Linked DNA regions of Yarrowia lipolytica. The protein of the gene in region 3 interacts with the protein of the main gene of each other region in a pairwise test. Links are inferred from orthologs where the notes say so. Each region holds a gene or a part of one and is shown on either strand. Other genes may lie near its edges.

Region 1 (3,440 bases), on a different chromosome or scaffold from region 3:
TCGTCATCAGTGCCTGTCTGCCTATTTTGTCGGTGGTGGCTCCCTCACCTCCTCCTCACCCTGCCAGCGCGCCCGCCGAGCCCAACGTTACCCTGGCCATCTCCTTGTTGCTCCACGGCCTCGTTACCACTGCTCTGGCAACCATCAACTTTTCGTTGGCCATGGTTCTGGGTCTGCTGACCGTGGCATTCAACTTCATCCGTCCTGGGTCTGCTCACACCAAGAGCAACCTACTGATTCTCATCATCACATGCCCTTGGACTTGGCTGGTTGCCGTTGGCGCCGTTTTGCACACCTCGCCCTTCGATATCCTGCAGATGCTCCTGTGGTCGCTTAGAGGTAACCAGGTGTGGACCTGGCAGGTGCTGTTCGGTCTGTGGCTGCCCCAGTGGGTGCTTGCGGTTATTGTCTCGCGCTCTTCTACCCCCGCCCCTGCCCAGTCTACTGTTGGCTATTTCAGAAAGCAGTAATTAATGGGGGGGTGCTTGTGCTTGTGATGAAAGAAGAAAGAAATCATGTCTCAGACCACTGACCAGGTGTTACACCTGATGAATGTATACCCTTGTAGGTATTTAATGTCCGTAATATATTTATGATGAATAGAATATTGGCTTGTGTTTCAACTGCTCGTTAGCTGTCTCTACAGTTCTCACTTGTCATGGTAGATGTTGTTGAAGGTACCCACCATGACCCCAAACTACACTGGAGTCACATTGTTGCTGCTACATATATTGTTTTCATCACGCATGGAGTTTCGGGGGATACCTTCTCGTGGAGGGGTTGCAACTGAGAGAGCTGAGAGGATGTCTTGGTTGAGGATGCCAATAGGGATCTTTGTCGGAGTTGACACCAAACTTGTTCACCTGTCTCAGGTTGGTCACGTCGAATTCATTGGTGTCTTTTGGAAGACGCTGTTGGGGGTGAGGTTTTTCTTTCGGGCTTTGCACTCTCACAAACGCTTTGGCTTTGGGGGCGTACCTGAACAGTCTTAAGTTCTCTCTTCTGACTCTCTTGAAGATAGGAATGGTGACTGTGGGTTTTCTAGCGCCGCTTTTGTGTTTATACTCTTGAATGAGATCTCTGAGCGATCTTTCTACCTCCTCGCAGGGCTGGATGATCTCCTTGTCCAGTCGGTAGATGCATTCTTTGAGGATACGCACTTTGCTGAGCTTGTGCTCGCGAGCAGTGTGGTAGTCGAACGTCGGTAGGTTGCCGAGATATGCCGTGTACAAGGCCAGAATGAGCACTGTTGCTGCCAGCTCGTAGACAGATATCATCTTGAGCGGTGATAGGGGCTGTTTATGAGTGATCTGTTTACACTGACAAGAGACCGGTCTGGTGGATTGGGTGCAGATAGGTCGGATGGGGTAGGTCGGAGAGGTGTGGGTCGGGAGTACTTGTGGATGTGTCAAGATACCGCTCGGTGTATTCAGCAGTAGGACAGTTGGTATACTCAATGGTGGTGTTTTAAAAAATACAGTAACTGTACAGGTACACATGTTGACACTTTTCACAATATTATTTCGTTTGTCAGATCGCTGCTGTAGAAACAATTGTGTATGTACTGTATGTATGAACGGTTTTCTTTGATCAAAATCAATAAGCCGTTTAATATCTTGTCTGATCAAAAGGTGTACATTATTGGTCTGTTTCCTGTTATTACATTTCATATTTTGCTGAAATTAATTGCAATTAATCTACGAAATTATCTTTAAATGCTGCTTAAATATCCCCAAAGATTAATAAACTCGGATCCATTAACATGCATGAACGCGTAAAACTTGCTCCATGGCGACACACACCATGAATAGCGACATTCCCGATCCCAGCGACTGGATCGACTCCAAGCTGAGCGGCCTCAAAGACGTGGACGAGACTCTGCGCTGCCACATCTGCAAGGAGTTCTTCACTGCGCCCATGATCACGGGATGTGGCCATACCTTCTGCTCGCTGTGTATCCAGCGATATCTCACCAACACCAGCCAGAGATGCCCCACGTGTATGCAGGAGCAGCAGATTTCGCAGCTGCGCAAAAACGTGACTGTCGAGACCCTCGTGGAGCATTTCAGCGCCCAGAGAGCCACGATTCTTCGCGTGGTGAAGGAGGCGGCAAAACAGCCGATTCCAGAGGTGGTGGAGCCACCCAGCAGTCCAGATTTGGACGACGGAAGACGCCGGTCCGGTCGCAAACGTACGCGCACAAACTACACAGAAACCCTGGTCTCGTCGGACGACATTCAGGTCGAGTGTCCTGTTTGCCAGGCCATGCTTCCAGGAGCAGCCATCAACAGACACCTGGACAACAACTGCAACGACACCGGAGCCAATGGAGGCAACTGGCTGGGCACCAAGAAAAAGACCAAGCCGCTGCGCAAGATTCAGCGAGTCAACCAGGCGTCAGAAAGCGTGGCCAACGTGCGTCGCAAACTGCAGGATGAAGGCCTTTCTACTTCGGGGTCCAAACAGACGCTGTTTCGGCGCTACGACGAGTGGGTGACGCTGTGGAACGCAAATGTGGACAATAAGACGCCACGGTCAAAGAGCGATATCAAGGACGATCTGCGAAGGTGGGAAACGACAGTGGTGGCAAACGAAAACGCACAACCGGTGAAAATGACCATCAAGAACATTGACGATAGACAGTGGGTCCAGAAACACAAGGAAGACTACGACTATCTGATCGAACAAGCAAGGAAGTCGATTCTCAAGAAGAAACAGGAAAAGGAAAAGGAGCAGCAGCAGCAGCAGGAGGGGCACCAAAAAGCAGTGGATCGCAGGGAGGACAACGAGCCGGACATGAAGAGGAGTGAAACAGAGGGGTATCAGGTTGTCTCCTAAGACATAGAATGCATGCATGTTAACACTTACAATAGACATAAAAAGATTTATTTGAATCACAGAAACGCGTTTCGCCGCAAGATCGCCCAAGTTTGAAGTCGACAGTCATCGTGGCACAGAGCTCCCACAGGCGTGAAAGTACGACGTTTTGATTCGTCTCGTTCCGCTCTTCAATTTGATCTAACAATATCCACACAAAAAAAACACAACTCCTCCCAAAACTGGGTTTCGTATCGAAGTGAGGACCTTCACCAGTCAGAAAGACGTCTCGAATACCTGTCTTGAACAGAGACCAGAAGAAGAAACAAAAAAGAAAGAGCCAAAGAGCTCTTATGGACGACACCGGAATCGAACCGGGGACCTCGCGCATGCTAAGCGCATGTGATAACCAACTACACCAGACGCCCACGATTGGAGATGCGGGTTGGATACGTGCGTTTTGAGCATAAAAAAGGTTTTGATAAAATTAAACTTAATTAAACTTTAATCTAATTAATCGACCCTTTTTGTAAATATTTTATTAAACCAAGCTACTTGTACAAAAACAAGTATTTTTTTGTCAATGTTTTTTTGTATACAAGTGTACCCAAGACGTGTCTTTT
Region 2 (4,481 bases), on a different chromosome or scaffold from region 3:
CAGATCACCTTTGAGTGTCTCGAGCCTTTGAAGCATGGTGAGTAGACCGGGGAGAGCGGTGGTAGGCAGTGCGATGGCCACATGGAGGGCCACATGGAGAGACACATGGAGAGCCAGTGGCAGAGACTATTCCAATCTAATTGACGTTGGATTGATGTCAAGTTGTTGATTGGTTCTTTTTTAGGTGCATTGATCGGGAGTTGTAGGCTGGTGGATGAGGCTGTCATAGGGGTTCATGGAGTGTCTCCATCTCAGCATCTATCCAAGTGTTGGTTGAGCATCCACCAATGTTGATTGAGCTAATCAGCAATTGTCCATCAGTTGATGGGGTTGAGATGGATTACTATTCCTGGTTCATCAACTGGGTCCTCAAGGGCTTCGGTTTACGAATGTCCCAATATCTCTTACTAACACAGACCTCGAATGGAAACTCACATACGTTGGTTCGTCCACATCTTTCGAACACGACCAGGAACTCGACTCGCTTCTGGTGGGCCCGGTTCCCGTTGGAGTCAACAAGTTCGTCTTCACGGCCGACCCACCCACAGTTGACCTGATTCCCGCGTCCGAGCTGGTTTCTGTCACCGTCATCATTCTGTCGTGTTCTTACAACGACCGCGAGTTTGTACGAGTCGGATACTACGTCAACAACGAGTACGACAGCGAGGAGCTGCGCCTCAACCCCCCTCCAAAGGTGCAGGTGGACCATGTGGTGCGAAACATTCTTGCTGAGAAGCCCCGGGTGACTCGATTCAACATTGTGTGGGACAATGAGGGCGAGCAGGGCGAGGAGTTCCCTCCTGAGCAGCCCGACGCCGACCTTGAAGACGATGAGGAGGAATATGGAGCGGGAGAAGAGGAAGAGGAGGTTGAGGAGGAGGTCGAGGGAGAGACTGAGGCTGACGCCAAGGAAGACATTGAGGCTGAGGGTGAAGCGGAGGCCGAGGGCGACGGCGACGGTGACGGCGACGGAGAGGACGAGGATCTCGAGGAGGCCTCCGATGAGGAGATGGAGGTTGTGGATGATGAGGTTGGAGAGGAGTCTGAGGGCGAGGACGACAAGGAAGACAAGGACGACAAGGACGACAAAAAGGACGACAAGTGATTGTACGGTAATGTATTTATTTGTATTAATAGAATGATGAATGTTAGTAAGCAGAAATCCATCTTATACAGCGTTTGCATGTTTCAAGCGGCCCCGACCAAAACAGCCACTCCCAAACATTGCAGCCCTAACCGCGAGACGCGGGCTCTCACCCTTTAATTAATTTGGCAACTTTATTACGCGTTGCTAGGGGGTAACCGTGGCGGGGTTTGACGGGGCGATTGTGCGACGATAGACGGAATATGACGGAAATTTTGAGATATTTGTGAATTTCCAAGCTCTCGGAGGTCACAATTACCGACTCCAATCGTTTCATTCACCCGTTGCCCGGTTGTATGGTGTGGTGTTCGATCGTGTATTCTTTTTCAGTAAACTTTCTACTTGTCCCGAATAGGAATAGTAACGAACGCGTGTGCACACTTCCTCCCAGTGCGAAAAGAACTCTCATCAACACCTCACCACACCCCCCGCCACACAAGATCCGCAATGTCCTTCGATACAGGAAGAGTGTATTCCACACAAGTGCTGCCCGGCGACGACGACCGGGTCGAGGACACCAACGTCGGACTCACCCGCAAGTACGCCGACTTCATCCGCGAGTTCTACATTGACGGCAATTTCATCTACCGAGACCAGCTGCAAGACAACATTCTGGGCGGCATTCTGACCATAGAAGTGGACATTGCTCATGTCCGAGCGTACGATGGAGATCTGGGTCAACGGCTGGCGGACGACCCCACCGGAATGCTCAATCTGTTCCAGCTGGCTGCTGCCAACGTGGCAAGACGACTAATCAACCCTTATATGGATGAGGCAGACGAGCGACTACGAAAAGAGGGGCCCGACGCCATTGCCAAGGTCCCCTACGTCCAGGTGACGCTCAGATCGGACGCCTCCATCACCCAGATTCGAGATCTCGGATCGACACATGTTTCCCGACTGGTTCGAGTGCCCGGAATCATCATCGGAAGTGGCAGCGTCAGCAACAAGGTCAAGACGGTCACTCTCATTTGCTCACACTGCAAAGACCAGATCAAAATCGAAGTGACTCCCGGATTCGCCTCTCTCAACATTCCTCGAGCCTGCCAGGGACCCCCCAACCCCAATGGAGAAGCCAAAAACTGTCCCCTGGACCCCTACAAGATCCTGCACGAAAAGAGCGAGTTTGTCGACCAGCAGGTGCTCAAGATGCAGGAGGCGCCAGAAATGGTGCCCGTGGGAGAAATGCCCCGTCACGTGATCATTTGCGCCGATGGCTATCTCGCCAACCGGGTGGTTCCCGGCACTCGAATCATGGCCATCGGCGTCTATGCCATTTACTCGGCGCAAAAGGGAAAGAACAACAACAAGGCTGGAGTCAAGGGTGCCGTGGCCATCAAGAGTCCCTACATTCGACTAGTGGGAATGACTGGTCTTGATTCTAACAACGCTCCTGTTGCCGATGGACTCAACCCTTCTAGAGAGGTTATCTTTTCAGAAGCCGAAGAGCAGATGATGATTACCCTCAGTAAAGAGCCCGATCTCTACGAAAAGATCACAGGCTCCATTGCTCCGTCCATTTACGGAAACACAGACGTCAAGAAGGCCATTGCATGCCTTCTGGTAGGTGGCTCCAAGAAGCTACTTCCAGATGGAATGCGACTCAGAGGAGATATTAACGTCTTGCTGCTGGGTGACCCCGGTACTGCCAAGTCGCAGCTGCTCAAGTTTGTCGAGAAGGTGTCTCCTATCGCCATCTACACCTCCGGTAAGGGTTCTTCCGCTGCCGGTCTGACTGCCAGTGTGCAGCGAGAGTCGGGGTCTCGGGAGTTTTACCTCGAAGGAGGAGCCATGGTGCTTGCTGATGGAGGAGTAGTCTGTATTGATGAGTTTGACAAGATGCGGGATGACGATCGAGTTGCTATCCATGAGGCCATGGAGCAGCAGACCATCTCCATTGCCAAGGCCGGTATCACCACCGTTCTCAACTCTCGAACAGCCGTTCTGGCGGCGGCCAACCCCATTTTCGGCCGATACGACGACATGAAATCGCCGGGCGAAAACATTGACTTCCAGACCACCATTTTGTCGCGTTTCGATATGATTTTCCTCATCAAGGATGACCACAATGCCTCCAGAGACGCCACCATCGCCAAGCACGTCATGGCCATCCACGAGACCGGAAACAAGACGGAAGAGGAGGGAGAGATTCCTCTGGATCTGCTTAAACGATACATTTCGTACTGTCGACAGAAGGTGGCTCCCGTTCTGTCAGACGAAGCATCGGAGCGTCTGTCTGGCCACTTTGTCGAGCTCAGAAGACAAGTTGCGGCTGCCGAGCGTCAGATGGGCAGAAAGTCGTCGATTCCCATCACCGTTCGACAGCTAGAAGCTATTGTTCGAATCACAGAGGCCCTTGCCAAGCTGGAGCTTCAGCCTGTGGCCAGCGCTGCCCATGTGGAGGAGGCCATTCGACTGTTTAATGCATCTACAATGGATGCCGTTACCCAGGGAACGTCTGGAAAGGATACCATCATGGAGGAGGTGACACAGATCGACCAGGAGCTGCGACGACGTCTGCCCATGGGCTGGTCGACGAGTTATTCTCGTCTGGTTACCGAGTTTGTCAACACTCGAAACCATAGCCAGGAGGCTCTTGACCGAACGCTTCATGCTCTGGAGAGATCGGAGGTCATTCAGTTCAGAATGCAGCGACAACGAGTTTACCGAGTTGGTGTTTAGTGGGATATTTGAATGTATGGGAACCAAGGCTAGGTCTTGACGAACCTGCGGAGGAACATGGAGAAACGACGGAGGAACGATGGAGACTTCAAGGAGACGACTGTATAGAAATTAGTTAGTGTAATTTTATTAATTTATAATGAACTGCGAGTTCGCCGACAAATGGGTGTTTAATGATGGTGAAGGCAAGAGTCTCCGGGTTACGCCAGACGACCGTTTATACAACATGTTGAACTTGTAGAGGTGGACGAGAAAGATACAGTACTGTATGTACTACAGTATGTACATCTATCTAAAGTATCGCACTCTGTACTTCTCTCAGTATCCGCTTGTAAGGCGAAAAACACCATTGGTTGATTATCCATGAACAAGTCTTGACTCCACAGATTCATACGTGAAAGACATCTCTTACTCAGCATCAGAAATGACCCAAGATCTCAGCTGAGCACCAACCGTTGTCCTTAAGCACAAACAGCTACTAGTACACTTGTACAGGTCTTCACGCAAAGGTCTTTCAGTTATCTGGTTGACAAGGCTTGTCCTGATTTGTATTATGAAGGAAAGTATGGATGTTCATAAAGTAGTTGGTTCAAATCACAATGATTATTACACAACTACTATCAAGTATATCCACCCAGGTCACACACCACATTGC
Region 3 (2,468 bases):
AACCGTGCTAACGATCCCCACTAGGCCGGCAGCTACCCCCACGTGCCAGTGTTTGCCTGTTTGATCCACGTACGAGGCAGCCACTACAGTAGCCACCACTCCGACTCCAGAAACGCCCATCGGGTACCTGTTACTCTCAATAACACTCCACCCGGAAGCCTTGAGATACTGTCCAAACAGGTTGTTGGCTGGAGGAGACTCCACCTCGCCCGCAATGCCCCATAGCAGCCCAAACATGTAAAAGTGCCATCGTCCAAGCACCCGTTTGACAACTGTCCAGTCTAGTTTTGTGTCTGGGCGTGGCGGGAGTCGCATGACAGACATCTGGCGCTCCTTCTCGTCGAAATAAAAGGCCTGTGTCGTCGCTGGTGTATCTGGAAAGAAAATAAAGCCATAGAGAGCCACGGGAAACGTGATGATGGCGTCGATAATGAACAGCCATCTCCAGCCGGCTAGTCCTCCTTTCCCACTGAGTCCTTTGAACACTGCACTTTGCAGAAAACCAGAGAAGAGTGTGCCAATGAGCCCTGATGATGTGAAGATGGCGGTTCGCTTCGCCAACTCCTTACCACTGTACCACGATCCCAGGATGAAATGGGTGCCCACAAACGTAGACGCTTCAAAAAAGCCCTGGAAGAAACGAATGGCATAGATCTGCTTGTATGTGGTCACAGCATAGGTGCCCAGAGTCAATAGGCCCCAGGCCATGGTGCAGAAGGGAAAGTAGTACCGGGGCTTGAACACCTGAAGAGCCAGGTTGTTGGGGATCATACCCACCGTGTATCCCACAGTGAAGAGCGTGTTGGCGATGTTGAGCTCTCGGCCGTACATTTGGAGATCCTCTCGCATGCCCGAAACAAAGGCATTGGACAAATTGGCTCGATCCAGATAGTTGGTAAAGTACATGAGACAGCAGAAGGAGAGCACAAACCAGTCAATCTTGCGCAACAGGTGCTCCTCCTCGGCCGTGCTCTTGTACTCTCCCCAGATAAACACTCTGATTTTTCTCAGCCAGTTCATGGGCCGTGATTGAGTGTGTCGAATGTCTTTGGGGTTCGAAATTGGCGGGTTTTTTTCGTGAATAATGCGGTTCTTCCCGTCCCTGTGGCTGGTCCTGTCTGTCGTCCCATGCTCGTCAGAAAAACCCTTCAGAGGTGAGCTTAGCGGAGGTTTATTTGCTTATTAAGCATGGCTGTAGATGGATGCAACGGTGAGTAACCAAGGTCCTCTCTATGTCCTACAATAGATTTCCAATGATCGGGCCTCCTTTTTTCGTCGATTTCAGCTGCAAATATTATTCTTCATCTCATTTCCTTTTATACACCGGTTTGCTCAAATCTAGTTGCCCCTTTCGGAACCCCTAGCCCTGAAGTCGCGGCTTTCACAATCATAGTTTGTGCAATCCACGAAATCCATCACACAACTACACACAAACATCAAAAGTGAGTATGGTGGCAAAGATGAAGTAACAGAGGCGCTGACAAGGTGCAGGAGAAATGAGTACAAGCGGGCGTACGTGTGTTTATATACACTGAGCTTGTATGCTCCACTTTGAGTGCTTCAGCCTTGCAGCCACGCTCAAGTTGCACTTGCACAACACGAGACGGTGAACGTGACGTACCGAACGTGACACAAACCAGAGAGAAACGCACCTCTGTCCACTCGTAAACTAACGCAGCAGATGTCTGAGGAAACACAGCCCAAGGTAGACAGCTCCGAGCACGTCAACATCAAGGTCACCGACTCGTCGTCGGAGATTTTCTTCAAGATCAAGAAGTCCACACAGCTCAAGAAACTGATCGACGCCTTCTGCCAGCGACAGGGCAAGCAGAAGTCTTCCCTGCGTTTCCTCTACGACGGCCAGCGAGTCACCGACACTGACACCCCCGAGACTCTGCAGATTGAGGACGGCGACACCATCGAGGCTCACCAGGAGCAGCTTGGTGGCTGCTAAGCGGGATATTAACTGGTAGATTGTTAGTAAAGTGTATGATAGCTGTTTAATATTGAGCGCGTAGAAATTGTCGCAATATATCTCGTTCCATCTCCAAAATCTGCTTTACGTAATCAGATTACTAGTACATAATTGCTGTATTAAAGAGACGCGTACATACGAATACAGGACTCGTATGTAAACTTGAACTCAACACCATGATGAAAACGTGGGCATTGAGGGCTAGAGCTGTTCGAGCCACATGGAGTGGCCTGTCGAGGACGTTCGGCACTTCAGCACCATGTGATGAGGCGCTCAAAATCGCATATTTTGGAAGTGACAAATTCAGCATCAAATCATTACAGGCGGTTCTCCAACTACAAAAGGAGGACCCTAGTGCCATTGAGAGCGTCACAGTCGTTACGAAACCGCCCAAACGAGCTGGACGAGGTCTCAAGGAGCTCAAAGATGTGCCTATTACCGACTTCGCGGTAGAGAACGGCCTTACGGTGCTTCGGGCAGACAACAAGACGGA

The links.
Region 1: the proteins of YALI1_F10115g (region 3) and YALI1_A08468g interact in a two-hybrid assay, tested with the Saccharomyces cerevisiae proteins (2 studies listed by BioGRID). The link is inferred for Yarrowia lipolytica from reciprocal best matches to the Saccharomyces cerevisiae genes SMT3 and RAD18.
Region 2: the proteins of YALI1_F10115g (region 3) and YALI1_A01766g interact in binary tests that used the Saccharomyces cerevisiae proteins (3 or more experiments, as listed by UniProt). The link is inferred for Yarrowia lipolytica from reciprocal best matches to the Saccharomyces cerevisiae genes SMT3 and MCM5.

What each region holds. Positions count from the first base shown.
Region 1 is NC_090770.1:845,071-848,510, forward strand, and holds YALI1_A08468g (uncharacterized protein), read left to right. Parts: upstream 1-1,788; coding exon 1,789-2,838; downstream 2,839-3,440. Other genes in the region: YALI1_A08436g (uncharacterized protein), read left to right, coding at 1-470; YALI1_A08467g (uncharacterized protein), read right to left, coding at 741-1,670. UniProt on the Saccharomyces cerevisiae protein: E3 RING-finger protein, member of the UBC2/RAD6 epistasis group. Associates to the E2 ubiquitin conjugating enzyme UBC2/RAD6 to form the UBC2-RAD18 ubiquitin ligase complex involved in postreplicative repair (PRR) of damaged DNA.
Region 2 is NC_090770.1:173,729-178,209, reverse strand, and holds YALI1_A01766g (uncharacterized protein), read left to right. Parts: upstream 1-1,591; coding exon 1,592-3,826; downstream 3,827-4,481. Other genes in the region: YALI1_A01777g (uncharacterized protein), read left to right, coding at 1-37, 417-1,105; YALI1_A01736g (uncharacterized protein), read left to right, coding at 4,426-4,481. UniProt on the Saccharomyces cerevisiae protein: Acts as a component of the MCM2-7 complex (MCM complex) which is the putative replicative helicase essential for 'once per cell cycle' DNA replication initiation and elongation in eukaryotic cells.
Region 3 is NC_090775.1:1,010,778-1,013,245, reverse strand, and holds YALI1_F10115g (uncharacterized protein), read left to right. Parts: upstream 1-1,681; coding exon 1,682-1,954; downstream 1,955-2,468. Other genes in the region: YALI1_F10122g (uncharacterized protein), read right to left, coding at 1-1,020; YALI1_F10110g (uncharacterized protein), read left to right, coding at 2,152-2,468. UniProt on the Saccharomyces cerevisiae protein: Not known; suppressor of MIF2 mutations.